Rattus norvegicus: one gene and its partners. The protein of the gene in region 4 binds, or shares a complex with, the protein of the main gene of each other region. Links are inferred from orthologs where the notes say so. Each region holds a gene or a part of one and is shown on either strand. Other genes may lie near its edges.

Region 1 (6,854 bases), on a different chromosome or scaffold from region 4:
CAACCCCATGTCAACTATATACATGTCTGAATACATTTGTTACTCTCTGCAATAAATTCTACCCCAGTAATATTTCCTCTTAATGGCCCTGGCTTTATGAAATGTTTTGATACCTCTTGCTTGTGCTGTCTTTTTCAAGTTATTCATTCATCCATGAATTCTGAAGTCAGCACCTCAAAGTTTTTGGACTATCAAGTGAATTTCAGGCACAGACTAAGTGGGCTCACACTGTGGTCCAGGTGTGGGCCATGGTTACTCACTTGGGCGCGCAGATCAGATATGCAGATGAACTTCTTCAGCACATTTTTGGGAAGAATGTACGTATAACCAGTCTCCTTGATGTCATCAGATGAAACATAAATGTGATTGGTCCGTAGATGCAGGTTGGCAGCAGAGATGGCCCTAAAGGACAGACAAGGCATGTCAGCACCGCAGCACAAGCATACCCAGCAACATCCACAGGCCTGTGCACCCCGCCACCTTCCTGCCCTCCACAGCACCTGACTCTCCATTCGGTCTTCGACGAGAAGGTCTGGGTCTCATAGTTGCTAGTGGTGGAGGTGATGATCTCATCGCCATGCTTGTTGACAGTTCGAGTCTGTGTAGCAGTGAGCTGGGACTGTTCCTTGGTCTGCTTCTCAATCTCAGCTATCTGCTGCCGCTGCTGCGATGGTGCAGAGATCTCCATTCCCAGGATGATGTCTCGAATTTCTGATTGTGTCAGCGATGCCACATTCACACTGTGGGGACACTGAGAGTTAAACAGGCCCCTCCTACTAGTCACTTTTGTCTTGATGGTAGAGTAGACTTGGGTAACAGGGTATACTCGGCCAAGATAATCCTCAAGTAACATTTCTTTTCTTTTTAACTTTTAAATGCATTTACTCTGGAGGAGGGGGACATATCACAGTGCAAGAGTAGAGGTCAAAAGACAACTTATAGAAGGTTTCTCTCTACCTTGTGGGTTTTAGGGATTGAACTTAGGTTCTGGGTAGCAAGCACCTTTATCCCTGAACCATCCTTTAACTGGCACTTCTGAGAAAAGCATGAAAGGAAGAGGCTGCGGCACCGTCAACTCCATGCATCCAAGCAGCAGGACAACAACACACACGTCCGTCCTCCCGCTGCTTCACACGTCCTCCTGCTGCTTCACACGTCCTCCTGCTGCTTCACACCTCTACTCTTACTTTCCCCCACAAAAATTGCCCTACACAGGACAACTCTCAAAAATGGAAACTGGAAACTCTCAAATCGGATGGAGTGAAACATACTGATAATCTAACAGTTACAAGGTTAAGGCAAGAAGGTTGTTGGGAGCTTAAGGCCAGCCTGGGATACAGAATGAAACCCTGTCTTAAAAACAAGAGAGGGGCTGGGGATTTAGCTCAGTGGTAGAGCGCTTACCTAGGAAGCGCAAGGCCCTGGGTTCAGTCCCCAGCTCCGGAAAAAAAAAAAAACAAGAAAAAAAAAAAAACAAGAGAAACGCAGACAGCAGAAACAAAAAAGAGAGTGAATCTTTTCAAAATGGTATCAGTGCCTTCACTGAGAACTGCATTTCTTTCTAAGTATCCAAGATGTTATTTTTCTTTTGAGACACGACCTTATGTAGCCTAGATTAACCTCTAACTCATGTAGTTAAAGATAACTTTGAATTCCTGAACCTCTTGCCTCTACCTACCAAGTTCTGGGATGACAGGCACACATTACCAAGCACAGGTAAAATATCTGAGACACTTGTAAGCCTAAATGTTTCCAAACTCCAGAACCTTGCCCTGGCTGCACTATGACACCTGCCCTACTCACTTGTTTTTCTTGCCATAGTCAGCCAAGATCAGATCCTTGAGCTGCACCTCCACCTTGATCCACTCCTCGTCAGTGAGCGTGGGCCAGATGTGGTGGGGTTCCGTAACGGTTGTCTTGTCTGGCTTCAGGATCACTTTTGCCCTATCGTTGTTCACATGCAAAGCACGCAGGATCAGGATGAGACGGGAGAAAGCCTGGGGAAACATGTGCAAAGTATGACTGTCAGCTTGGTGACAGTCCCCTCCTGTACCCTATCCTCAGGGGGAAGCCAGTGCTGTCCTCAATTTCTTATGGTGCCAACCTCCCAGCAAGAGTTCTTGCTCTTTGTATACACAGGTCAAGAATTTAAAAACGATCTCATCAAGTGACTTCTGGAGACCCCTGAGGCACACAGTAACTTCTCCTGACTAGAGAGACCTTCCTAAGGTGTCAAATTACCGTGTAGGATGAGATAGTCTTGAGCCAGTCATCATAGAGGTTGAAGAGAACCATCTGTGGTTCTGTGGCTTTAAGGATGAGATCCCCAAACTTCTCCACCTTGAGACAAGCCTGGAAGGGCAGCTGGAGCTCTGATCCTTTGATCACAATATTGGGGAAGTCCAGTAAGTGTACCTAAAGCAAAGCCCAAAGTCAGAGACACAGCCCAGAGGGCCTGAGTCTACCTTCTACTGTGTCCACCTCTCACCTCCAGGGGATCCAGCATCCCTTTCCGAGTGACAATAATCTGTTTAGGCTGTTCCTCCACAGGCAGAGATCGGATCAGGGCAGCCACTTCTTCAGCAGTCTTCCACTTGGCCAACTAATAGAAGAAAAAATCCAAAACAAACTGAGTTGACCTTCCTCAATTATCTAGAAAAAAAAAAAAATCTTGAAATAGACCGTTTCTATAATGACAAACATGAGTGCCAAACTTAGTAATCAGAAAAAGATGCCTACATGTTTAGTGATGAATTACAGTTTGAAACTGGCTCTCAGGTTAAGCTTGCTCTTATGGATGATGTGAGGATGTGGTTCCCACATCCACACCAGGCGGATTACAACTGCCTGTAGCTGTAGCCCCGGAGCTGATGCCCTCCCCACATACAGCTAAAATAAAATACTATTTAGTTTTTAGAGACATGATCTCACTCTGCAGTCCTGGCTGGCTTAGAACTCAGTATGCAGAAGGGGCTAGCTTCAAACTTGCAAAGATAAACCTACCTTTGCATTCCAACTGGTAGGATTAAAAGGCATGTACCACCATGCCCAGACTAATAACAGAATTTAAAAAATAATCTAAATAAAAGTTAAGACAACTAAAAGCTGCATATAGAAATGAGTCTTCCTGGCTAGAACTACGGTGAGCACAGTGAAAATGAGAGCTCTTCTAGAGACAGAAATACGGACAAAGCCTTGGAAGTGAGATGAGCGCTGGGACTTGGGGAAATTACAAGGGGACTTGTAATCATTACACTATACTTACTACAGATACAGAGATGAGACATGTGGCTGGGTAGGTACAGCCCAGTCAGGTAGCAAATGTCTAGGAAGCCACAGAGTGTGCATTCTCTTTATAAAGATGATGTTTAGTTGCTCTTTTAAGACAGAGAACAGAAGTGAGAGGCTTAGGATGTAGAAAGCCCAGCTCAGAGGTAATGAAGGCCTTCACATGCTGGACCTCCTCCCTGGGAACACTTCCCTGGGAGGCTGAGGAGCGGAGTCACTGAGTCAAGTGCTGTGGCCAGAGTGTGGATTCCCAGCACCCATTTATGTCAGCCACAGATGGGGCAGTTGAGGGGGAAGAGTGCCACTTGTAATTCTAACTCCCAAAGCAAAGCAAGCTGACAAGCTCTGCATTCAGCTCAAGTACTTCAGGGAGTAAATCACACAACACTATCGCCACCTCTTTTCTGACTGTGTGCAGCCATGGCTGGCCTTAAACCTATGGCAATCCTCTTCCCTCTGCTTCTTGAGTACTGAGATATTTGCTACCACACCCAGCAATACTTTCTCTCAATAGAGAAATAGGTATTTTTATCATGTTCCTTTGCCCCCTACCAAGAATGAGAGACAGCAAGGTTCTGTGGCTTCACTATCATTTAAACTGCGTACCTGACCCAAACGCTTCTGTCCAGCCCATACGGATGTGTGGATTATCTTGAGGAACAGCTGTCCTGTGCGTGGATTGAAGATGAAGATGGCCCCATTGATGGGTTTGGTTGTCAAGTTCCCCTCAAAGGTCTAAAGAACAGTTATATTGGTTAGCATGGCCTACATAATCACCCCGACTTTACCCAATGTGTGTACATGCTTGTCTTACTCTCTCATAGGCACTTGAAGCCTGCGTGCCCACACTGCATCCAAGGCTCACCTTGTGGATAGTTACTCTATAGACATTGGTGTCATCCACAAACCAGATAATCTGGTTCGAGAAGAGTTCACCATAGTTCTGAGAGGACAGGTAAGGCTCAGTGGGCTCAGATGAATACAGCTGCAATCCTTTGCGTATCCGTTCACGTAACACATACAAGGCAGGGTTTGCCTTCATGATCTTGGCCATGGCTTGCTGTATGAGAGGCTTGCTCCCCGGGAACCAGTTTCCATAGGCACTGTGAGGATGAAGGGAATCACAAGAACTTAAGCACAGGCCGAAAGCTCCAAGTACAACAAAGGGACAAAGAAAGTTGGCCAGGCTTATGCAAAAATCTGCTAACACATGTACATAGAGAAGAGTCAGTCAGTGACCCAGAAGAAAAAACCTCATCTTAGCCAAACAAACTAAAACTGGTGTAAAGACTAATGTGCAGGGAGGGCGTGGTGGCACACACCTTTAGCACCAGCACTCGGGAAGTTGAAGAGGGAGGATCTCTGTGAGCTTGGTGCCAGCCTGGTCTACATAGTTCTAGGACAGCTAAGGCTATATAATGAGATCCCACTTAAATAAATGAAACGAATACAGAAAGTGCAGGGCTAATGGCAAACCGATGCTTCTGAGCCCTAACTCACCTGTGTAGATTATAGGCCAGATCAATGGCAATGAGCACACCTGTGGGTGAAGGGTAGATACTCATGTTGTCTGTGGTGTAATCCAGGAACTTGGCCCGGGCATAGCGCTCAATATCATGGGAATCATAGTCCCCCCAGCGTAACTGGATGTCAATCCAATACTTCTGTGTGGTGGTGCTGTCCATCACATCCCTAAGGGTAGGGGAAAAAGTTCAGGTTTTCAGGAAACCACAGCATAACCACCATCTCAGACTCATGAGAACTCCCAACTGCACCTAAATCTCAAAATCATCCCTCCTCATTGTAGATCAGCAAGACCCCTAGCCGTTCAGTAATGGTGCTTGGCTTTAACCCCAGCACTTGTAAGGCAGAGTCAGGTGGATGGATCTCTGAATTCAAGGCCAGCCTGGTCTACAGGCCAAGTTCCAGGACGGGCAGGCTACATGGAGAAACTGTGTCTCAAACAGAAAAAAACAACAAAACAAACCACAAACAAACAAACAAACAAATCAGCAAGACCCCCCCCCCCCCCCCAGGAAACGGGTAGGTCTGACTGCTGATGGGTTACAAGGGCTAGCACTGCCTCCAAGTTTAAAAGAATGTCAACCAAAAGCTGGGAATGGTGCCCACTTTTGTACAGCGAGCATTTGGAGGGGCTGAGGCAATAGTATTATAAGGTTAAAGCCAGAATAACAAAACAAAAGAGGCAGGGCTAACTCTTTTAAGTTACATGCTTATCGGAGTTGGGGATTTAGCTCAGTGGTAGAGCGCTTGCCTAGGAAGCGCAAGGCCCTGGGTTCGGTCCCCAGCTCCGAAAAAAAAAAAAAAAAAAAAAAGTTACTTACTTAGAGTCTGCCAGCAGCGAGGGCCGGGAGACATTCCACTTATAGGAAGCAAAGAGCAGTATATCTGCACAGGAAGAGTTCATCTTGTAGGATTTTCGGGGATGGATTGTCTCCTTTTGTACTGTCTCAATTTCCAGGGCATCTAATTCCTGGTCGAAGACCTAGAAGTAAAGATGAGAAATCCACATACACTGAGAGCTGAGAGAATTTAGATGAGGCAACAGAGTCTAATCCTTGCCTGTCCAGGATAAATTTTCCCAAGCTGGCTATGCGTGGCAGTGCATAATCTAAGCCCTTGGGAAGCAGGTTAGGTAGCCAGCCTAAGGATCTCCAGGCCAAGGCCACACAGACGGATGTGACTGTGTGATGTCACCCCTCAGCGGCAGCTCACCTGACACAAGTCCATCACGATGCTCTCATGAATCTTTTGCCACAAGTGAGCTCGGAAGATCTGGATGAGAGAGATCTTCAGCGTGGGGATCTTGCCATGCATAAAGATTCCTGTCAGGTCCAGCTGCACCTGGAAGCCTACGTATACCTGCCAGGAAAGAGAGAGACCAGAGACCAGCTCTTAGGACAAAGATAAAGGCGTAAGAAACCCCTTTCCCCATCTCCCTTGTGGAAGAATCATACTCACATTGGCTCGATTGATTGTTGGGGACCACCAGAGAGTAAATCTACGATTAGGAATCTGGTTTAATCCTGATCGCTGAGCATTGGTCAGCTTCTTCCACTTCATGGATTCCTCAAACCCGCTGGCTTTCTCCCTGATGAACAGAGGAATTAAATGAGATGCTGCCCATCCCCCTCCCAGAGGTGCCTAACCCTCACTGGGCTAAGTAAGAAGCAGCAGGCTACCACAGCACAGAAGTGCTGAGCTCAGAGAGTTGTGACAGATCCCTGTAAGGAGGCAGAGTCCTTACCAGAACAGACCTTCCCAGGTTGGGAAGTAAGTGCCCTTGAAGAGAGTGTGTTCCAGAATGCCCTCCACACCGCCCAGTGCCTGGATCATGTCTGTGCGGTAGTTGTTGAGGTTCCAAAGCTTGCCATCATGCCGTTGATGTGTCCACCAAAAGGGGTTCTGCTTCAAAACCTAGAGAGTAACGCAAGTACAGTGAAGCCTCTGGGTGGCCACCACTCTCAGTGACAGGGATGCCAAAGCTATCCTGATGGGGAGAAAACTTGCTCCACTCTCCACTCTACACACCTGGTACTGCTTAA
Region 2 (7,749 bases), on a different chromosome or scaffold from region 4:
CAAGATTTATTCTTATTTTGAGTATCTTGCTTGCGAGTATGTATGTATATACAGATATATATGTATATACACACACATATATACATACATATACACACACGCACACATATATACATGAATATATGTATATGTATAGCACATTCATGCCTGGTAACTATGAAGGCCAAAAGAGGGAGTTGATTCCCTGGAACCGGGATTACAGATGGACGTGAGCCACCATGTAGCTAATGGGAACTGAACCTGGGCCCTCTACAAGAGCAGTATCTGCACTCACCTGCTGAGGCATCATTCCAGACCCTCAGCTTTCATTTTTAAAAAGCTGGTACCTTGGGCTGGAGAGATGGCTCAGTGGTTAAGAGCACTGACTGCTCTTCCAGAGGTCCTGAGTTCAGTTCCCAGCAACCACATGGTGGCTCACAACCATCTGTAATGGGATCTGATGCCCTCTTCTGGTGTGTCTGAGGACATCTACAGTGTACTCCTATACATGAAAAAAAAAGTTGGTACCTTTACTTATATGCTTTGAATCTAGAGTCTGAACAGAGGAACATTAAGCTATAGTACCTATGAACCACCTTCTCTTTAGTTCTATTGATTCTTTAAAGCTGTGTGTGTGTGTGTATATGTGTGTGTGTGTGTGTGTGTTTTCACACTCTCACATACCCTCAGGTCAGAGGAGAGCATTGGATTCCCTGGAACTGTATTATAGATAGTTGTGATGTCAGGTGCTGGGAACTGAACTCAGGTCCTTTGGAAGAGCAGCAAGTGGTCTTTTTTGTTGTTGTTCTTTTATTTTATGTACACTGGTGATTTGACTACACATAAGCCTGTGTGAGGGAGTCGGATCCCCTGGAGGAGTTACAGATGGTTGTGAGCTGCCATGTGGGTGCTGGGAATTGAACTCAGGTCAGCAGCCAGAGCTCATAACCGCTGAGCCATCTCTCCAGCCCATTGTTTGCTTTTGTTTTTTTCTGTTTTTTTTTTTTTTTTTTTTTTGAGACAGGGGTTTTTCTGTATAGCCCCGGCTGTTCTGGAACTCCCTCTCTAGATCAGACTGGCCTTGAACTCAGAGACCAACCAACCTTTGCCTCCAGAATCCTGAGATTAAAGGTGTTAGCACGTCCAGCTAGCAACTGCTGAGCCACCCATTCAAACTGTACTTATTTTTTTTTTTTTTTTTTGGTTCTTTTTTTTCGGAGCTGGGGACCGAACCCAGGGCCTTGTGCTTCCTAGGTAAGCGCTCTACCACTGAGCTAAATCCCCAACCCCTGTACTTATTTTTTAAAGTATGGGTATTCTTAATGAGGGTTGAGAATCAGGTAGCAAATGATTTAAGTTAGTTCCTCCTGAAGATTCTGATCTTTCTCCCTCATATATGAGGGTCCTAGGTATGGATTAAGGCCCCATGTTTTTACAAGTAGAACAGTTCTCTCTTTCTTCTTAATGCTCAGTAACCATTAAAGCCAAACTGATGCTCTTACTAAATCAGTTCAAGAGTTGTCTCCAGGGGAAGAAAAAATTCAGCTGCTCTTGGTAGCACGAGCCTGTAATTCTAACACTTGGGAGGCAGTGGCAGGAGGATTAGACATTCCAAAGTCATTCTCACTACATAGCCAGTTTAAGGTCAGTCTGGCGACATGAGCCAGTAGGACAGTAGGAGAATGGAAGAGGGGAGGGGGAAGGAGATGGGGAGAGGAGAAAGAGAGCCAAGAAGATTATTTAACTCCAACCAAAGCAACCCACTTTCCAATTAGCACAACGGTTCCTTCTTCTTATTTACCACATGCACCCGAGGTTGTACCAGAACGTGTGCTCAGCATTTTACCACGCAGCTTTAGCTAACTGTAGCTGGCTTAACCTCCCAAATTAGACAGATGCCAAATTAGACTGATGTCTGATGCCTCCTATGGATGGCACTCAAAATGAAAGAGATCATATTAGCAGAGAGCAGTTAGTAACTCCAGTTCAAACACTGTGCCTTACGTATGAGTCGGTCAAATCCTGCAGAAGCCAGGGTAGATCCATTGGGGTGAAACTTGCAGCAATACACTTCCCCTTCGTGTCCTGAGAGCAGCATGATGGGGGCTTGAAGGGACGAACACCTTGGCGGTCCCTAAACCAAAGACAAGTGTGAGGAATGGAACGCTGGGGGCAGTGCATCTCATCTGCTCAGGGCACAGCACCTCTGCTCACAGAACTCCTCCTGCCTCTGGATAATCCCGTGGACAGTCCAGCGTATGCCCTATGTGCTCTCTCCTTCCTAAGGCTGTTTTTGTTCCACAGCCAACTTTTGACTGCTTGGTCACATTGAACTCCTTTATGCCTCAGGGTCTTAACAGAGAAAGATGTCTTCTATAGAAGCACTCACCTTATTTTGTGTCTGTTAAGTATTGCCTCCCCAGAGTCTGTCTTTCATCACTCACACTATTTTGAGTGAGGCAGCCCCCCTACCCCTTATTCCACTGGGTCCAGGGCACTCTGTCAAAGCCCCATCACTACCTGAACTTCCTTCTCTTACATCATTGCTCATACCTTTCTTTTTCCCCAAAGAAATGAAGCTCTGGTCGTTCTCCATTTTTCTGTCTCTAGTCCATCCAGTTAGCCTTTGAAAAACCCAGTGGGGTACAGTTTATTATGCAAAATAGATTTTGGGGCATGAGCGGGGTGGGGGGGGTCTTTTTTTTTTTCTTTTTTCTTTTTTTTTGGAGCTGGGGACCGAACCCAGGGCCTTGTGCTCGCTAGGCAAGCGCTCTACCGCTGAGCTAAATCCCCAACCCCGAGCGGGGGTCTTAATATGTAGCCCAGGCTGGTCTTAAAAATTTTCAGTCCTCCTAAGTGCTGGTATGACAAGTGTGTATCACTGTGTCAGGCTTAGCAAAGTAGATTTGATTGTGTGGTCTTGCACACTAAACCTAGGCAACCTTGTCAAATAAGAACCAGTGTATTACCAATAATCCTGAAGTCTCTTTAGTAGATCCCAGTATACTTACTTATTTTTATTATCATGTACTAACTACACCAAGTAATGGGTTTTATTACGAAATATCCATAAATGCAGATAATGTCCCATGGTCATACTCATCCAGTATATTTAGTCACAAAAATGTTACCTGTTGGCTAGAGAGATGGCTCAGAGATGCTCTCCTAAAGGACCCACATTCAGTTCTCAGCATCTTCAATGGGCAACTTTCAAGAGCTGTAACACCAGGTTCTGAGAATCCAACATTCTTTTTTTTTTTTTTTTTTTTAAGATTTACTTATTCATTTATTATATATAAGTACACTGTAGCTGTCTTCAGATACACCAGAAGAGGGTATCGGTTCTCTTTACAGATGGTTGTGGGCCACCATGTGGTTGCTGGGAATTGAACTCAGGACCTCTGGAAGAGCAGTTGGGTTCTCTTAACCGCTGAGCCATCTCTCCAGTCCAGAATCCAACATTCTTTTCTGGCCTCTGAGCCCCAACCCCAGCGCACACACACCTAACATATCTAGGCGCTGGAGAAGACAGCACTTGGTAAAACAATAGACCTTGCATTCTAGTACAAAGTGTGAGAAAGGCAGACAAGCAAACCCAAGTAAAACACCCCCTGTTGTGTGCCATGGGAAGAAACAATATGGGTTCCAGAGTGCAGGACACTTCAACCTAAAATACAGTTGTCAGAAGAGCCCCACTGAAAAGCTAGTATCTGAGCAAAGATTTGAAAGAGTCAATAGTTGACCATGTGGGCATTTACAAGAACATCCCAGCCAATGCACCACAGAAAAAGTAAGAACATATATGTGTGTGTGTGTGTGTGTGTGTGTGTGTGTGTGTCTGGAGCCAAGTGACATGCCAGAAAACTAGTAGATGAACAAGGTAAAGAGGGGAATTATTACAGAGAATTTCCTTTTTTTTTTTAGAAGGCAAGGATCAAGGTTACACAGTTCTCTTTCCTTTCAACAGGATTTTGCCATAATAATAGCTTAGATGCTTGAAGTCCTGGATCTTCCAGCCCCAGTTTCTCAAGTGATGATTATAAATGTGTGTATCCAGCTTTTTTGGGGGGTGGGGTGGGAGTGTCTTTCTATGTTGTACAGGTTGGCTTCCAATTCCTTCCCTTAAAATTTTCTTGTCGGTCTTCTGGAAAGCTGGAACTACAGTCCCACACGCCTTGCTCACTTTATTTGTATATTTTAAAGACCACCGCAAAAGGATTTGGTTAAAGAGTTGGGGCAGGAGTACACCTATTTCCTCATCTGAACGTGTGGCGGGTGTGATTACTATTTTACAAGACATGTAGTTAAAAGCATGGGTTCTGATTCAAAAAAGCTTGCTTTCCCCATTTTGCAAAATAACAGCTGCTTCCAGGCTGTTATCAAGATTAACGGAAATTTCACACGCAAAACATCCAAGAACCAACTAATGTTAATTACTATTATAAATGCAGAGAAAGAAAAAGCTGTACCAGGTAGCAAAGCGAGCCACTATCATTCATTTGCATTGCTTCTCCTCTCATTCATTCATTCGTTCACTCTGCCAACTTTCCTGAATGTTTCTTTTATGCTAAATCCCTGAAGATTTAGGATGCGGAAGCTTGGGTCTTGACTTTGAGGCCAAAGTTTTAAATGATTCAATGCCCCGGAAGGGCTAAAAACAGGCGTCTAACAGGGAAACACGTATGGAGCACACACAGAACACAAGGCACCTTTACAGAGGCCTATTTTAACTTCAGGCTCACTGCTTTTCCGTTCCTGCAGAGCTGATACCATCCGTAGGAAGAGGGGTTGGGGGCCGAAGGGGGGATGCCTCCTCACTTACCGTCTGCAGCAATGCCCCCGGAGTCGCCTGCTGTTGCCCGGCTCCGGGGCCGGATCCTGCGGCTCCCAACAGCAACTCATGTCGCGGCCGCTTGACGGGAACCAGGGGTAGCTCTGGGCCCTTGCGTTTCTGCTGCTCGATCATGGCGGCAACCACTACCCTCGGCGCCGCCAGTAACCGCGCCGCCTGCAGCAGGCGTTGCGCAATTGGTTTCAACTGAGTTCTTCCTCCAGAACTTCCGGAAGAGAGCAACCAATCGATTTCTAACATTTCCTTCTGCAACGCCCTCTGAATACACTCTTGCGATTGGTCTCTTCTTGATGACGTCACGAGAACTCCACTCTGGATTGGGTCGCAGAACTGACGTTCTCCTCCGCCCCCTCAGGCGCGCCGTGCATTGTGGGTGAGAACGAGCGGAGCAGATTCAGTGTTCCTAGGGATGAAGCGGCTGTCCTGTTAGGAGCGGACGCGGAGTGAGTGTGTGGGGAATCAGGCGGGTGGTTGTTACAATTTGGAAGTTACGAGTCAGGCCTGAGCCTACCATTTTCAGCTACCAGCTTTGGCAGCGGGGTGTGGCAGGGGATGTCCTCGGAAAGAGTCCCCGGAAAGAGAAGTCCTTTGGTAGGCTGGAGCAGAGCTTTGGGATCTCTGGATGCAGGACTCGAACTCTCAGGCCGCTATTCATTGACAGCTGCTCTGCAGGATGCCGATTCTGGATCCCACTCTGTGCTGGCCTTCCCAGGCCCGACTCCCGGCCTCCAGGCTTCAGTGCCTGGCTTGGCTGAGGCGGCGGACTTAGTTTTGTCACTGCTTTAGCCGTCTTTTCTAAGGACTTATTTATGTCCCCGAGACAGCCAGCGATAAGGAAAGTATCAGATGGCTCCCCAAAGCACAACTTTATTGAGAAGTCAAATAGTCGTGCTTACGTACCAGGCCTTCTCGAAAGTGGTCCATGGGGTTGGGGATTTAGCTCAGTGGTAGAGCGCTTGCCTAGGAAGCGCAAGGCCCTGGATTCGGTCCCCAGTTCCGAAAAAAAGAACCCCCCCCCCCAAAAAAAAAAAAGAAAGTGGTCCAAATGGTATTTATGATGCAGTGCGTTGGAGGTCATTCTGAAGAAACATGGTCCCCTACCTCAGGGTGTGGGAAACGTGTTAAGCAAATCTCACCAGTTGATCGGAAGACTACCTGAACGAGCGATGCCTCATGCTATGAGTTACTAATAGAAGCTTGAAGGCTTTTCAAAAGAAAAGATGGCTGAGCTGTTCCTATCTGATGGGACAGTTCTAATTATGGGACGAGAGAAAGGGAGAACGTTCTGCACAGAACAGCATGTGCAATGCCCTATCAGTTGGGAAGATGACTGAGACACAGTGGGTCTGAGCGGGTGTGCTGAGAGAGAGTGATTGAAGTGACTATGGTATGGGATGAACCCGGAGGTCATGAAGATTTGCAGGAAGTTGAAGCTTTTACTTTAAAATCAATAGGAAGCCAGTCAAAGTTTTCTCTCTTCTCCAGAATGTGGTGCAGAAGATGGCTTGATCCCTCAGACTTAATGGTGTGATGAAACTGGAGAGATAAGGGGAGGTTTACTGGGAACAAATAGACCATTTTGGGAGCATGAACAGTAGTTCTGATCAGCAATGTCAGTGAGAATCAAGGTGAGGTGGGACTGAAGACAGGTTTAACAGTTTCTTGGGATAGCAGGGAAGTAAATTGGATAGGATTTGGTGATGATGGATTGGATGATGCCTAAGAGAGGATTATGTGCTTAGTCCCAACATTGGAGGCCGAGAGACTGGAGGATTGCTACAAAACCAAGGCTAGGCTGGGCAACATTGGGATCTTTCAACTCACACCAGGCTGCTAGCATGACACCTTGTTTCATCCCCCTCCCCCCACCGCCCAAAACAGGGTCTAAATATGTACTTCTGGCTGTCCTGGAACTCACTATGTAGACCAGGCTGGCCTTGAACTCAGAGATCTACCTATTTCTGCCTCCCAAGTGCATGTATATATTTGTTCCTCATGAATGCCTAATGCTAGCATGTGAACTTCCATGGAGGTGCTAGAAACTCTAACCCCAAGTCCTTTGCAATTGTGTCTTCACTAGGGTTTTATTACTGTGAACAGACACTATGACCAAGGAAACTCTTATAAGGACAACATTTAGTCGGGGCTGCCTTACAGGCTTAGAGGTTTAATCCATTGGTGCAGGAGGAGCTGAGAGTTCTATACCTTCATCTTCTAGAAGATTGAATAGCAGTGTCGAAGCCCACCCCCACAGTGACACACTTCCTCCAGCAAGGCCACACCTATCCCAGCAAGGCCACACCTCCTAATAGTGTCACTCACAGGGACAAGAATATACAAACCACCACAAAGAATGACAAGTACTCTCAACTAATGAGACATCTCTTTCTAGCCCTTGCGTAGTGAGATTCTAGCTCACAAAGCCAGGGGCTGGGGCTGGGACTTCTGGGTTCAGTTCTTAGCACTGCAAGAAGACCTTTCCCATCAAATAAAAGTTTAAAAACTGGTTAAGGCTTCTGTTCTGTGGGAGGAGCAAACAAAAAAAGCTTTAGGCAGGGTAGAGTGAGTGGTACATGCCTTTAATCCCAGCACTCAGGAAGCAAAGGCAGGTGGATATCTGTGAGTTCAAGACTAGTCTGTTCTACATAGAGAGTCAGGACAGCCAGAGCTACATACAGAGAATCTGTCTCAAGAGAGAGATTTGATGGGGGGGGGGGTGTCTTAAGATATAGCTCTTCCTAATTTTATTTAGATTTTTTTAGAATCATTATTTTATGTGCATAAATGCTTTTCCTGAATGTATGTATGTGCACCATGTATAAGCCTGGTGCCAGAGGAGGCCAGAGGAAGGCATCAGATCCCCTGGGAGTGGAGTTACATACTGTTGTGAGCCACCACGTGGGTGCTGGGAACAGAAC
Region 3 (7,771 bases), on a different chromosome or scaffold from region 4:
GTGAGTGGCCTCAATGTGGAAAAAACACTCAACTTTGGGTGAGTGGGAGGTAAGGCTGGATATGAGGTGCTGGGGAACGGAAATGAACGGAGTTAAGCAACAACAAAGAACAAGGTATTTGGGCTGTCTGTGGTGGTGACGCATGCCTTTGATCCCTAAACTCCACAGGCAGAAGTGGGCAGATCGCTAAATCCAAGACTTGACTGGTCTAGACAGTAAGTTCTATCTAGGCTAGTCTGGGCTACACAGAGACCCTATCTTTAAAAAAGAAAATAGTGACATGTTAAGCCATAAACCTTAAAGACACTGTTAGGTGTACGAAGGCAGACAGAAGAAATCACACTGTATGGTTTCCACTTATCCAAAACACCCAGTCACAGGATATCAGCAGTGGTCACCAGGGCTGGAGAATAAGGATTTGTCAGCTAAAGTGAAACTCATTTCTTTTAATTAAGAACTATCTTTACATGTGTGTAGGAGCTTTGCCTTTCTATTGTCTCAATCATCTGGATGCCCAGTGCCTGAAGCTGGAAGGTAGGAGACTCCCTTGGAATTATGGGCGACTGTGAGCCGCCCATGTGTAAGCGCCGAGAATCAAGGCTGAGCCCTTTTAAGAAATGACATTGTAGTTCTGTTCCTGGAGAGGGAGTGGAGAGGAAGGCAGTTTGCCCAGCCTTTGGGAGGCAGAGGCAGAGGCAGAGGCAGAGGCAGAGGCAGAGGCAGATGGATCTCTCTAAGTTCAAGACCAGCCTGGTCTACATAATCAATTCCAGGACAGTCAGGGTCTAAGAAACCCTGTCTCAAAACAACAAAAACCCATCCAATTACTGGCTTTGTATTTAGGAAGTCCATTGGTTGTACCACCCACAATATACCCAATTTTGAAACCTAAGCAGGATTGGGCCAGGTTAGCACTTGGCTGCGAAGACAACAAAAACTCTGGTGAAGTCCTAAGAGGGGTTGGTTCTAAAGTGGCCGTGGCTCTCCAGAGTGGGTGGGTGTATATTCACTTTCTTCCAGTGCTTTGTTAAATCACCACAACTTAAGCAGCTCGACACAAATTTATTATCATACAATTCGAGAGGGTACAAGTCCAAAGTGGGTTTCACTGGGTTATCAGTGTGGGGCTACACTTGGCTGGGAAGGACCTGCCTTCTGCCTTCCCGGCTCTCCAGGCCACCGGCACCCTGACACATACTCCTCTCTTCCAGCTTTCAGTTCTCTGATCTTGTTAGGAGTCAGTTCCTTTTCCAGCGTAAGAACCCCGAGATCACAATGGTCCCAATAATCAAAGGTAATCTCCCAGTCTCAAAATTTCTCAATTTTGCTCAGCATCATGGCACACACCTTTAGTCTCAACACTTGGGGAGGCAGATCTCTTGTGAGTTTCAGGCCAGCCAGGGCTACACAGTGAGACCCCACCTCAAAAAATTAAAAAACAAAACAAAACAAAACAAAAAACAACCAAAACCAAACCAAACCTCAACGTCACTTCTACATAATCCCTTTCCTACACTTTCCCTCTGCCACATAAAACATAAGTAATATTCACCCAGTCTGGGGCTCAGATGTGTGTATCTTCAGGGATGTTCTGCCCTTCCTGGGTATTATCAGGAAGTGCCTCAGAGAGCATGAGGAAGAGATCAGCTTTAGATCAGCTAAGTCTGAGGAACCTGGAGGGCACCTCGGTGTCTCTCTCACCAAACACTTGTGAACAATCAGTCAGGCAACATGACTGGATGTTACTCATCCCAAGACACCAGGTTTTCACTGCTAAGTATCTCAGAAAGCTGGTTCCTCTTTAACCAGTAATACCTTACAAATAACTACAGGGTTATCGCTGTCTTAGTAACATACCAAGTCAGATGTCTTTCCACTAATGGGCTTCTTGAAGTCAAAGAAACCATCTGTCCCTACACTGGCAGTAACAGGTCTAATTGTTAGACAGGTCAGAAGTCTCTGCATCTAACATCTGCAGCCAAGCCTGAGCTGAACCCCACTTCCCAAGTCCTTAGCCTGGACCCACTAGCCTGCAGCTCTTGGGGCCTCCTGTACAGACAAGGTGAGCAGAAAGCAGCACTGGTGGGGTGAGAACTGTCAGGTCCCTGTCTGCCTCTCACACTCTGGATTCCTGCATGGGGACCAGACCAGAGGTTTCCTCAAGGCACTAGCCCCACGCCCAAGACGTGGGAGCCCAGGAAATGTAGACAATGCTTGAAAGGCTAAGCAAGAAAAGCTTATGCCAAGAAAGGTCAGGGAATAGGTGAATGGGCCACCTCTCTAGTTTACTGTGAGGTCTCCAGTAAGTCCCTGCCCTTTGCCCCTCGCTGTATCACATGGTGGCCCAAGTAACCTTGAAGTGCTACCAAGTTCATACTTCACCTAAGAGCTATGGAAACTACTGCAGGAGGGTGAGGGGTAGTAAAACCAGACTAGGGAGAAGGGGAGAATCCATGTTTAAGAGGATCTCCCAATAGGATTTCAAAGTCTTCCTAATGTCCCAGCTACAAAGGAGCTGCCAGGGCAGAGAATGTGAGGTCCTAAAAGCCAAGATCAGCATGACAGAGAACAGAGTGATAGAGGGAATTTTACACAGGACACCTGATGGGCCCTCCCTCTGCCTCCAAGGTGGGAAACAAAACGGAGGTGGTCCAAGACACCAGAGAAGCATGAGAGGAAGTCTCTTGGGAGGAAACTCAAGGACCCACCAGGTGAAGCCAAAAGGAGCTATGGAGAAGCCTTGGCTTTTGGCCATTAGCCCAGTCAAGGCCCTGATGCATACTCAAGGCTTTTATTGACAAAGAGACACTGGCTTTAGAGTGGCCTCCAATATCCTCACTGCCCAGGGCAGTTGGGACCTCCTCTGCCAAGTTCAAGAAAGAAGGGGCTGCCAAACGGGGCCCTTAGCGGGCTCATGTGTAGAGATCAAAATCAATGCGCTTGGAATTGTAGAACTGACCGCCTGGAGGGTCCAGCTTCCGGCAATAAACACCATCCGGGAAGTAACCTTCGCTCACCCAGGTCTGTAAGAACAGAGGACAAAACTGAGGCAAGATGACAGAAGCTGGGGTGGACAGCCAGGGCGGGAAGGGGCTTACCTGCATCTGGGCACTGGTAAAGGGTCCGTACAGCTCAGCATCCCCCGTGTTCTCCCATTTATACTCCCACATCACATCCATCAGACCATCTCCAGCTGAATCTGCTTCTAAAACAATGAAGAAACTTGGGCCTCAAGCACCCGGTCTCCTGCCCACACTGCCCCTCTTGTGCCCTTCTTACCTTCTCTATGGGTAGGGGTTGGAGTTTCCAGTTCCCCCTCTGTTACTTCCTCAGCAAACATGTCCAGGGAGGGTGGAGGTGTGGGGTCATGGGATCCCTGGGTCCGACACCCCAAACCCTTCAGTCGCATAGCCAAACGCTCCCTTGTTTCCTGGTATACACCAAGGTTGCCTCGAGCCACCATTTGATCAGCCAACCCAGATAGCCGGTCTAGACGCTGGGGAGAATTGGGCCGTCCAGTCCCCTTGCTGTTCCCTTTGCCTCCTCCTCGGGCCCCCAGACGCCTAAGTGCCCCAGCCACTGTCTCTCTTGGCAGTAACAACTCCAGAAGTCCCTCCAGGAGGGCTTGGACACTCATTGGAGTCTGACCCAGGCTGCCTTCCTCCTCTGAGTCCGAAACCTGCTGCTTATCAGGTGGCCGTTCCTTGATCCTCACCTATAAGTGAAAGATAGTTATCGTTTCTTACAAACTCCACCAGGACCCAGGCCCAGCACCAGCATTCCCAGGCTGAGCTCAGCCAGGACAGATCCTGGGCCACACCCAGTCAATGTTGTCCAGCCAGCTGTCTCGGATCTGCGAATCCTGGTTCAGGAAATAGTTGCCATCTGCATCAAAGTGGCCTTCCTCCATCTCCTCCTGCAGGTTGAAGGGTGTGATCCTCACACCCCCCTCACTAGGGAGAGTAGCTGCTTCCTGACCTGCACCAAAGACATGGGGGGCCCCATGCTAGACATGCAAAAAAGAAACAGGCAGTACACCTCCCACCTCCCTACTTAAAACCTGTCCCTCCAACACAGTTAATGCTTTGGAAATAGCTCACCTTCGACATCCTCTGAGGCCAGGATATCGTATTTGCTGGACCCCTCGTCATCATCCTCTTCATCACTGTCTAAAGAGTGTTTGCCTTTGAAGCGGCTCCCAGGACCACCTGCTCCAGCCACAGGGTCCACCAGCTATGAGTAGGACGAAGTAAATGAGAAAGGAAGACTGGCTAGTTCCTCGAATATTCCAGGATCTGTACATAAACTCGAATCCTTCCAAACCCAGTGACTGGGAAAAACTAACCCTTCCTTGGCTTCCAGCTTTTCTCCCGTTGGACTGCTCCCTCTCCTTTCCCCTTAGGCCTCCATAGAACTTAGAGATCTGGCCATCTCACCTTCTTTTTGGGAACACTGATTTCATCTTCATCATCCTCATCTCCAACACCCTGAAAAGTCACTTTCCTCTTTGGCATGATTGGCAATAGATTTCCTCCAGCTGGACCTCGGGAAAAGATAGGAAGTGAGGAAATTAAGTAACAAGAGAGGGCCGCGAGAGTGTACAGGCTCCACAAAGATTTTTCCTGGTAAATTTGAGAGAGGACCGATCACTAAACCATCTGAAAGAACTAGCAGGTACGACGTCCGGAATTGATTTGGCAATGCAGGGGCCCAAAAGGGAGAACATGTGAAGGATCTCCGCCCCCGCGTGGACCCTGTGGGTACTCCCACCTAGGTGTGTGGGAGGGTAGGGAGCAGGTTCCCCCCACGTCATCACTTCCCTACCAGTCCGAAGCTACAGAGCTCAACCACCTCTCCCACCCGAGTGCCCTCAGAGGCCGGTCGGACGCAAGAGCTGGCGCCTTAGTAGCCTCGGAACCCGAATTCCACATAGCGACCTGCTCGGCCATGTCCAACTCGGCGTAGAAGCTAGAAGCGAGGCAAAGCCGCAGGGATTCAAACAATCTTACCCGCTGACGCTCACCTAGGAATCCAGGGTCAGACGGGAAAGAAAAGGAAAGATGCTTTCGCCGGTATTACATCCGGGGCATCCGCCTCCATCACCCGGAAAAAGACTGTGAAGACTGCCATAGGACCCGGAAGTGGCTTCACTTCTATCCAAAAGACTGGCAGAACGGGCGGATGTATCCCTTTAGCCAAGGCCGACTCTCCGCAGGAAGTAACGTAAGACCTGCAAAGACTCGCGTGAACTCCGTACTTGCCTCACGGGATTTGAAGATGGCGGGAAATGTTTTATTATTCCTCTGCAATGGAGGAGACGGTGAAGACGTGGCGTTCTGTTTGCTAAAAGAGGTTCCCAAGGCCCGGTTGGAGGGACACAGACCGAACAGGGGCCTTGGGTTTCAGTTTGCATTTATGGATAGGATTATGTACGCCTAATGGCATTCAGTAGAAACTCGGGTTTCCGAGTTTAACGCAATCCCAACACTCAGGAAATTGAAACAGGATTGTCGCGAGATTGATGCCAGTCTGCGATACAACATGAGACCATTTATTTTTTTTTAAATCTTTTTCTCCCTGAGTCCTGCTTCTGGTTGTAAGCACTCGGGCACTTTCCAAACCAAATCCTTTTAGAACCCAGGAAGTCATTTGCACCATGTCTATTCCCCCACTTAGTTCCTAGTTTCTGTAGTGGGACAGCCGTCGCAGGAGGTGGCGCTGGCATTGGTGCTGAGTAATTAGGCAGAAGCCCATGGTGCCCTGCTCTCAGGTGTAGGTCCCAAAAAAGCTCTTGAATTAGTTACAAGATGAAGCCTACCCCGACCCCTTAGCAAACTGTCAAGGTGCTGAAATTCAGCTCCTGCAAAGGTGGGACCAGTGAGATCTAACTTAATAGTGAGGTTTAGATCTGGAGCTCTGGGAAAAAACTCAAAACCTGAACACCTCTGCCCCACCCCCACCCTCAGGCTAGATAGCTCAGGTGATCCTACTAGAGCTGGAAGAGGGTGGCCAAACGGACACCACCTTTCTCCTCCAGGGTTTTCTCCCATTCTGAATCACTGTGAAACTTCATTGAAGGTGTGATCTTAGTTTCTTCTGTAGGTAAAAGAAACACAAGTCCTACACCAAGAGAGCATCTTGCTATAGACAGGACCCTGAAAAAACACCAGCTCTCAGCACTACTGGTTCATCTGGAAGGAATTTTCTCTTCTACCTGGAGACCACACCCTGATCCTCATCCTGAAGAAGATCTGCCAAGTGGAACTCTTGCTTTATGGCCACAAAAGCTTTATCAGAAGACTTTATCATCCTGACCCAGACTGGAGGGCAAAAAGCTTGCCACAGAAAACAAGAGCTGGACAATTTGGTTGTGTGCACCTGCTGGGATGAACCAAAAGCAGTCTGTCCACCCTAGAAGCCCAGTACCAGGAGCTGCACCATGCTGCTGACCAAGAACCCAGCCCAATCTAAAGATGGTGGTCTTGCACTCGAAGCCCCTCCTTCAGCTTCCAGGGGGCCGAGGCTGTAAGCTGTGCAGAGGGTCCCAGGAGGCCAGTGACAGTGGAGGCAGCAGATCCCAGGCAAAGCTGAGGAGGAGCTGGACCACTGATTGTTGATGAGAGATGGAGCAAGGGTTTACTGTGACTCATTTTGGGGGTCGAATACTATTCACAGGGGTTGCCTAAGACTATCAGAAAACACAGAAACTTATATTATGATTCACAGCAGTAGTAAACTGTTATTAAGTAATAATGAAAATAGTTTTATGGTTGGAGTCACCACAATGTGAAGAACTGTATTAAAGGGTCACAGCATTAAGAAGGTTGAGAGGGGCTGGGGATTTAGCTCAGTGGTAGAGCGCTTACCTAGGAAGCGCAAGGCCCTGGGTTCGGTCCCCAGCTCCGAAAAAAAAGAACAAAAAAAAAAAAAAAGAAGGTTGAGAACCAGTGGTCTAGATGTTCCTGCCAAGATCAGCAGACTGAACCTATGGAGAGTCAGACTTTCTTCCTGGCTCCTTCCCCCTTACTCTATAGCACTCTTCAAATAACAAGGCAGGAGACAGATCCAGATAGAACAGCAGGTTCTTTTTCCGGTTCCTCAAAGCGCCACGAAACTGCCACTGGGGTGGGACCAAGACAGAAGAGAATGTAAACATTGGGTTCCACCCCCTGGACTCAAGGGAAGACCCTTATTCAGAGAGGGGCTTGATGGCTGGAAGGGAACAAAATGAAAGATAGGCTTTCTGACTCTCAGCAGAGAGGCCTGAACATACAGAGCAAGTGGGCTAGGAAAGAGCAGGACATGGGTGGGAAGGAAACGGAGGACACTTCCTAACATATCCTCTTAAATAAACTGGAGCGTAGACGCACTGTGGAATGGGGAAAGGACAGAGCACCCACCCCAGGCCAATCTGACCTTCTGTACATAATTACAACACAAGGATATCCAGGAGAGAAAACAGCCTTGGCCCCCAGAAAACAGTGGGATGACAGGCAGGGCCCCAAGACAGGAAAAGGAACCTAGCTCCACCATCTAAGGGAAGCCACTGGAGTGTAAGAATCTGCTAACTGCCATTGCCAAGAGTCACTGTGGTGACCAAAGGCAAATTAAGACAGCACCCCAGAAGAACTTCATAGGCGTGACAGAGACCCAAGCTGAGCCTAACTGGACGAAAGAGTCTCCAGACTTGGTCACTGTTACCCTAGGAAATGTAGCTGTCCCATGCACTGTGGCTGTCCCGGCCATGTAGGGATCAGCAGCTGGCAAGGAG
Region 4 (7,499 bases):
TGTAAGCAGCAATAAAACTATAACAATTAAAATAAAAATAAAAGTCCTGGTCTAAGCCAGTAAAAAGAGAAACATTTTAAGAAGTCAAAAGCGAGGTACTCTCTTATTCTCTTTCCTCAGCCTTCTCTCCCCATTCCCCTCCCACCTCTGCCTTTCTCTGTCTCTATTCCCTCAACTCCCCTCCCCATGCCCTAAATAAACTCTGGTAAAAAAAAAAAAAAAAAAAATTCAAAAGCAAACTGAGATGTTAGGTGAAGGCTTCTAGGAACACAGATCAGGCCTAGCAACTAGGAGCCTTGGGCTCCAATCTCACCGTGACCACTATTGGTCAAATCCTTCCTCTTTGCAGGGGTAGGCTATGTCAGCAATTTTCAAACATGGGATTACGTACACAGGCTCATGTAAGATGCTCAAATCATTAGATAAGACAGCCAGCCAGCTAGACCCATTTTAGAGCTCTTGACTTAAAGTCTCTAGGCTACGGGTGAAGATGCATTCCAATGACTACTAGCAGTCCACCTCCTACCTCCTTTAAGAACACTGGGCAGATAAGCCAAGATGAGCCTCTATTCTAAGCACCCCCACTAGCATCCTCCCCCAAAGCCTAGCTCCTTCTTACCAAGGACATCCTGGGGGTTGCCAGGGAACTGCTTGCTGAGCACAGTCTCGAGGGCATAGCTCAAGTCCATGCTGTGCCTGGTGATCTCTGCTGGTGTGGCACCTGCTGGGAACATCTGAGTGGGCAGCTCTGAGAAGCGGATCTCTGTCCCCGCCCTGGGCTTCATCTCAGGCAGCCGGGCCAAGCCCTCTTGGTAGCTTCTGCACTCGGTGCCACAGAGCGGTAGGTTCTGTTCCACCCTGTCCTTGGTGTACCTCATGGAAAGCACGGGAAGCACATCTGAGAAGGCGCAGATCTGCCGGCTCTCAGGCTGCAGCTTCTCCATGGTGGCCTCACTGATGAAGTTGGTGAGTGAGATCCACTTCTTGAGTGTACCATATGGGTAAGGTCCCAGAAACTGGTCCAGCTCTGGGAGATTGGCTCTCATGGCTTCTACTTCAGCCTCTGGAGCTGGAGACAGGTCTACCTCTTCCTGAACTGCATTCCAGCGCAGGACTGTCAACTCCCGCTGCTTCAGGCTAAGAAAGAAGCCCATCCGAGGGCCCACCTCCCTGGGATTGGCCTTGTCCACAGAGCTGTAGTAAAGGAAGTGGACACCAGGGGGGATCATCTTCACACCCCGGAACTTGGGCCCCACCTCCCAGGAGTTGTAGTCAATGCCAAACTCTGTCCCCTTGGGCATGTTCAGAATGACCACAGTGGCTCCTTCAAAGAAGAGTTGCTTGGCTAACTCAGGATCCATCTGCATGGAAGCCATGAGGCCAGTGGAGGGTAACCAAAAGCAGGACTCTTTTTTTGTCTCCTAGAACAGCAGAGAGAGGCAGGGGGTGGGAGAGAGTGAATGAATATGAGTTGACCAGAATATGGGGAAAGGCTATTTTATTACTTGCACATTCTCTATATCAAATATTGAGTTAGATCCTGACAGAAATTAACTCCCTTTAATCCCCATGACAACCCTGCATCTGTCTAACAGATGAGGAAAATCAGGATCGAAGAGATTTGGGGGTGTGATTTAAGGAGCAATAGTCTTCATTCCACCACGCCAGGGGCATCCCTTAAAGACAGGTGGCCATACAGTACCAAATGCAAACCTGCCCGCTGGTACTGCAGGCTTGTGTCTACTGCCCATCAGATGTCTTTCTCTCAACAGCAGGGGAAGGTGGAAAAGGTTCAAATGGCTCATTTTAAACTAGAACAATGCAAAAGTCATCTTAAGCTACAATTCTACCTAAAACCTGCTACTGGAGAATACCATAAGATCTGTCAAAGACGACCAAATCAAACTGGCTACCTAATTTCCCATGAGCATCTAAAGTTAACAAAAAGTCTGAGGTGTGGAGGAGAGCTTTTCAAACTCCCTTCTTTCACTCATCAACAACCTCGTTGAAAATGAGGGAGAAGAAAGGGCTGGTTTCCTAGTTTAAAGACAACATGGCAGGGTGCAGTGGTACACACCTGTATTCCCAACCCTTGCTGGACCGAGGCAGAGAAATCGGGAGTTCAAGATCACCCTTGATTGCTAGAGACTGTCTCAAAAATCAAACAATGAAGGGTTGGGGATTTAGCTTAGTGGTAGAGCGCTTGTCTAGCAAGCGCAAGGCCCTGGGTTCGGTCCTCAGCTCCGGAAAAAAAAAAAAAATCAAACAATGAAAACAAGCAGCTGGTGGGAAGACAGTTAACTGAGTACAGTGATTGTCCATTGCACACAAAGGATCCTTGCACACGCGCGCGCACACACACACACACACACACACATCTGTGAGAGAGGCAGAGGCAGGAGGATCAGACGTTAAAGTCATTCTCAGCTACACAGTGAATTGGAAGCCAGACTGCGATATGTACACAAGACACTGTCTTAAAAACAAGCAAGTAATCACAAAACAAAACCACCTAAAGTCCAGGGATCAAACAGTTTCCCACAGAGCCACAATTCATCCAGAGAAGACTGACATGGCAGGTCTACAATATTTGAGGAGAGGCTTAGATTCTTTATTTTATCCACATTTAAATTCCTTATAAAGACCCTTTGGTTAAAAACAAAGGCATCAGGGGTTGCTGGCAAATACTCAGTGAGTAAGGGCATTTGCCTTTTAAGCCTGACAACCTCACTTCGATGGCCAGATACTATAAAGTAGAAGGAGAAAAGAGAACCCACAAAGTTGTCTAACCTTCACATGCTTGCCCCAGCATATGACCCACCACCCCATCATTCACTCACATGCACACAATGTAAAACACAATTGTGTAGCAGACGCTGTCTCTGCAGTATTTGTAAGAATGTTTTCAGCATGAACCAATTTAAGCCAATCAACTATTCCGACTTTTACTAAATTGAGTAGGAAGTCACTCACCAGTCCAACAGACACACACTCAGATTACAGGCACTGTGCGGGATTGTTACTGGGCCCTAAAAGAAATATTCGGGGCTGGGGATTTAGCTCAGTGGTAGAGCGCTTGCCTAGGAAGCGCAAGGCCCTGGGTTCGGTCCCCAGCTCCGAAAAAAAGAACCAAAAAAAAAAAAAAAAAGAAAAAAAAAAAGAAATATTCACAGAATAAGACCACTGAAAAACAGATGTTTGTGTTTTACAGAGGTGGCCTCAAAATTAACAATCAGGAAAATCAAGTGTGTCTTGCTGTTGTTTTTTTAATTTTTAAAAAAGATTTATTTTTTTTTTTTAAAGATTTATTTATTTATTATATATAAGTACACTGTAGCTGTCTTCAGACACACCAGAAGAGGGCATCGGATCTCTTTACAGATGGTTGTGAGCCACCATGTGGTTGCTGGGAATTGAACTCATGACCTCTGGAAGAGCAGTCGGGTGCTCTTAACCGCTGAGCCATCTCTCCAGCCCTAAAAAAGATTTATTTAATTATTATAAATACACTGTAGCAGTCTTCAGACACACCAGAAGAGGACATCAAATCTCATTACAGATGGTTGTGAGCCACCATGTGGTTGCTGGGATTTGAACTCAGGACCTCTGGAAAAGCAGTCAGTGCTCTTAACCACTGAGCCATCTCTCCAGCCCCTATTCTTTTATTTAAAACAAACAAACAAACAAACAAAAATCCTTTTACAAAAAATATGGGCTGGATGCCCTCTTCTAGTGTGTCTGAAGATAGCTTCAGTGTACTCATAAATACAATAAATCTTTAAAAAAATATTAGGCGTACACTTTATTGTCTTTACCTTAAAAACAAACAAACAGAAGAAAGGTCTCTAAATCAGCACTCTTTTTCAAACTGCAAGACATAACTTGAGTTAAGAAATCATTTTTAGACATAAAGCTAATCTGAAATAATGGAAAAAGTTATACAGAAAGCAGAAGAGGATGCTGAATTCCCTGAAACTGGAGTTAGAGGTAGTTTTAGCACCATAAAGGTGGTAGGAACTGAGTCCAAATTCTCTGGAAGAGCAGGCAAGTCACTTAACCACCAAGTCATCTCTCCAGCACTGAGAAGAGAAGTTTTAAGCCATCAAAATGCCACAAGGAACAAGGATAGGACTGGTTCCATGAAGGCCTGTGCCTCTATGCGTGGTCACTGCATAAAAGTCTTGTGCCTGTAGTTCAGTCAAAAAAAGTCTGGAACATACAAATGGGATGCATTCTTCACAACCCTGCAATACAGAAAGACACCTCCTCAGCCTATTCACCAACTCCCAAGAGCAAGAGTCCTTGGTCCTCAATGCCTTCTCTATCTGGCTTTAGGGAACATAAAATTCTTACTATGGCCCGAAAATGCTACAAGAATTACTTTTGGCAATTCTTCAGCTTACTTAATACCACCCCAATCCGACGACTGTTCCAACCACACTGGCTTCTTTCTGACCCTCAAACCAGAGAAAACTCTACCCACAGCATTTTGTCAAACTTTTTTTTTTTTTCTAATCTTGTAAAGCCTCCTCGACCCAGGACTAAGTCAAAAGTTCCGTGATTATACTCTGGATACCTTGAAGCCTTTCAATTCCAGTGACTGGTGTGTAACTTTGTGTACTTGATTGAAGACTGTCATGCCTCCAGAACTCGAGTCCTAGGTCCCTAGCGTATGCACGAAGCTTAAAACTTACTTACTACAATATACATTTAAATAAAGCCAGGAAGCCAGGTGGGTGACTTACAGGAAGCCACGCAGAACCAGCTCCAGTGAGTATACGATCTCTGGTTCCCAAGATCTACAGTTAAAAGGGGGGAAAAGTTACTTCGTGAGCCCCAGAGAGCCTGACCATGGTGTCCCTGGAGATGGGTTTTCAGAAATAAAGGCCTCCCGAGACACCAGATCACAAATTCAGACTCCGCCGGCGCGATTCTGAGACAAGAAACGAGGTGACCCGATCACATTTAACGAAACCAAAGGACGAAAGGAGCACCAAGAGCTGACACTCACCGTATTACCTCACGTTCGGGCTCCGCGGAAACTGGACGGAAGTTCGGCTGCTTTGGAGCCGGATAGGTGCTACAGAAAAAGTAGTCCGGCGGAGTCCCCGGTCTCAGAAGAAATGGCCCGTGCTTCCAGGTTCCTCACGATAAAGCACTGCCATTTTCTTCTTACTGGTTCATTTAACTTCCCGAATTGTGAATAACGATTTTAATTAAACTATACACTTTATATCCCCGTCCAGAAACATACTCAACCAGCTGCAGTCCTTTGGTCTCAAGCAGACACGGACTAGCCAAAGCATGGTCCAGGTGTTGGCACACAGTCGTGGTTTGTCACACTTCAGCCACATTTACTATGCCAGTCACCATGTCAGAAGTTCCCTATTACCTCCAAGTCTCCCTAGTTTCAGAACCAAGGCTGTTGCCTAAAGAGAGAAGCAGTTCTTTCAACAGCCACCACAGCAGTTCCTCCAGCAGTGACCACCCAGTGTTTTCTAGGCCTTACGGAATACAACAGTCAAGCTCTAAATCGCGCACTGAGTGAGGAATCCTGCCTGTCTTTTTCCTCTCGATTTCCTTAGAACCTAGCACATAGCCCTCATCGATGTACTGTGCATTTAATAACAAAGCAAATAATGTGGTATAATAAATGACTATTTGTGGGCCTAGCCTTGTGCTGGGTGGTTCTGTGCATCAGAATTCACCAAGAACCAGAGCCACTGGGGGATATATAGACACTACTTCTAATCTTTTCACTAATCCTAGCCAATGTGGGACCCTCCTCTAATCTTGTATTTCCAACTCTACCTACCTGATTATAAGCTTGTTTATCTGTAAAGACCGGATTTTCAAAGGCCTTCAATCAATCTCTTCTTCAGGTGACTTTACCAAGACTGGCTGTATCTACAATGACTGACAGAACAGAGGACGACCTCCATCTTCATTATCGAGCCTCTTTTTTTTTTTTTTTTTATAAATTTATTTTTTAAGATTTTATTTTATTGTATGAGTACACTGTAGCTGCCTTCAGACACACCAGAAGAGGGCATCAGATCTCATTACAGATGGTTGTGAGCCACCATGTGGTTGCTGGGATTTGAACTCAGGACCTCAGGAAGAGCAGTCGGTGCTCTTAACCACTGAGCCATCTCTCCAGCCCCCATTATCGAGCCTCTTAAGATGCCTACCTCCAGCACCATGACAGTTGTCAATGGCGAGAAACCATAAAAGCTGTATCCAAATCCTTGCCATCCCTAGAAAGGATGAGTCCCTCCGCCCCCTTTACTGGTCTCATTTTTTTTTCACCATACCTGCATATCTCTAACCTTCAGTTGGTCAAGGGTTTGATCTGAGTTTATTTCCCATTTCTGTCCCTTACCAAGACCAAGTCTCCCTTGCCAATAGATGTGTCCACACTTTTTACTGGTGCTAAAATTCTGAGACAGTGACCCAGTATAGGGATGAAAACTTGGCAATTAGTATTCTCAATTCACAGAAGAGAAAACTGAGCTTCACAGAGGGACTACAGACTCAGAGAGTACAGGGATCAGATGCAAAAAAAAAAAAAACAACCAAACAAACAAACAAAAACAAAAACAAAAACAAAAAAACTTGATAAAACCAGCTGGAGTTCTGGCCCCTGTGCTGCTGCTTCTGTGTCAGACTTCCTCAGTGATAGATGAACTTGTCAATCTGCCCCACTCATAGCTTCTCAAGTCATCTCGTAGGGGGATTGCAGAATAGGCTAGATGGGGCAATCATGGTTAATCACAGTGGGCTGCCCCAAGGTTAGCCAGAGGCAAGTCAGACCGGCAATCTCAGCCTCTATGGTCAGTTCCATTTCCTTTGGGAAGCTGCTCACCTTCCCTCCCCAGCTCCTGTCTTAGGAGCTGAACTCTGGTATGTGTGGTCAACAGCTTCCAGGTGGCTTCACATGGCTTCCCCATCTGCTTAGAGGTCCAGGACATTTAACATTGGACATGGAAGTTTCAGGATATATAGGTGCTGGCCTGGACATCCAACTTTGTGAACCATGTTCACCCAAAGCACGATTTCTCTACTTTGGTGCCGTTGGTATGTGAGGTCAGGTAATTCATGGTGGCAGACAGCTGTTCTGTGGATTAGAAGTTTTGCTGCAAACATAGGCTCGCATCTCTAGAACACTGGTCAACTGTGACACAAAGATCTTTCTAGAGACTGCTTCGCTACCCTTTCCAATGCAAGCCGAGAAACCACTGAGCTGGATGAACTACTTCCCAGAAGCAGAAAGACGGTGCTACAGGTCCAGGAGGTGTGTAGTCCCAGTGTTTGTAATCCATTCCAGGATCCTAAAAGTAATTGATCATTAAGTGGAACTTACAAGGAAAATTCTGGAAACCATTCTCAAAGCCCCCTACAGCAATTGCCTTGCACAAAAAAATAGGACTCTGGGGGCTGGAGAGATGGCTCAGTGGTTAAGAGCACTGACTGCCCTTCCAGAGGTCCTGAGTTCAATT

What was found.
Region 1: Aar2 (region 4) and Prpf8 share a complex: the UniProt entries of both Homo sapiens proteins name them as parts of the U5 snRNP complex. The link is inferred for Rattus norvegicus from reciprocal best matches to the Homo sapiens genes AAR2 and PRPF8.
Region 2: Aar2 (region 4) and Snrnp40 share a complex: the UniProt entries of both Homo sapiens proteins name them as parts of the U5 snRNP complex. The link is inferred for Rattus norvegicus from reciprocal best matches to the Homo sapiens genes AAR2 and SNRNP40.
Region 3: Aar2 (region 4) and Cd2bp2 share a complex: the UniProt entries of both Homo sapiens proteins name them as parts of the U5 snRNP complex. The link is inferred for Rattus norvegicus from reciprocal best matches to the Homo sapiens genes AAR2 and CD2BP2.

Annotation. Positions count from the first base shown.
Region 1 is NC_086028.1:60,844,744-60,851,597, reverse strand, and holds part of Prpf8 (pre-mRNA-processing-splicing factor 8), read right to left. Parts: coding exon 6,841-6,854; intron 6,727-6,840; coding exon 6,557-6,726; intron 6,401-6,556; coding exon 6,271-6,400; intron 6,172-6,270; coding exon 6,025-6,171; intron 5,795-6,024; coding exon 5,634-5,794; intron 4,981-5,633; coding exon 4,789-4,980; intron 4,392-4,788; coding exon 4,154-4,391; intron 4,024-4,153; coding exon 3,895-4,023; intron 2,603-3,894; coding exon 2,489-2,602; intron 2,416-2,488; coding exon 2,242-2,415; intron 1,998-2,241; coding exon 1,804-1,997; intron 741-1,803; coding exon 501-740; intron 403-500; coding exon 261-402; intron 1-260. UniProt on the Homo sapiens protein: Plays a role in pre-mRNA splicing as core component of precatalytic, catalytic and postcatalytic spliceosomal complexes, both of the predominant U2-type spliceosome and the minor U12-type spliceosome.
Region 2 is NC_086023.1:147,982,025-147,989,773, reverse strand, and holds the start of Snrnp40 (U5 small nuclear ribonucleoprotein 40 kDa protein), read right to left. Parts: upstream 4,985-7,749; 5' UTR 4,946-4,984; coding exon 4,802-4,945; intron 2,114-4,801; coding exon 1,984-2,113; intron 1-1,983. UniProt on the Homo sapiens protein: Required for pre-mRNA splicing as component of the activated spliceosome. Component of the U5 small nuclear ribonucleoprotein (snRNP) complex and the U4/U6-U5 tri-snRNP complex, building blocks of the spliceosome.
Region 3 is NC_086019.1:191,238,857-191,246,627, forward strand, and holds Cd2bp2 (CD2 antigen cytoplasmic tail-binding protein 2), read right to left. Parts: upstream 5,036-7,771; 5' UTR 5,024-5,035; exon of another isoform or gene 5,010-5,023; intron 4,977-5,009; exon of another isoform or gene 4,938-4,976; intron 4,544-4,937; exon of another isoform or gene 4,538-4,543; 5' UTR 4,515-4,537; coding exon 4,437-4,514; intron 4,236-4,436; exon of another isoform or gene 4,234-4,235; coding exon 4,101-4,233; intron 3,979-4,100; coding exon 3,821-3,978; intron 3,716-3,820; coding exon 3,280-3,715; intron 3,206-3,279; coding exon 3,099-3,205; coding exon of another isoform or gene 3,024-3,098; coding exon 2,913-3,023; 3' UTR 1,043-2,912; downstream 1-1,042. UniProt on the Homo sapiens protein: Involved in pre-mRNA splicing as component of the U5 snRNP complex that is involved in spliceosome assembly.
Region 4 is NC_086021.1:165,515,105-165,522,603, reverse strand, and holds the start of Aar2 (protein AAR2 homolog), read right to left. Parts: upstream 5,081-7,499; 5' UTR 4,746-5,080; exon of another isoform or gene 4,640-4,745; coding exon of another isoform or gene 4,577-4,639; intron 1,422-4,576; coding exon of another isoform or gene 1,377-1,421; coding exon 620-1,376; intron 1-619. UniProt on the Homo sapiens protein: Component of the U5 snRNP complex that is required for spliceosome assembly and for pre-mRNA splicing.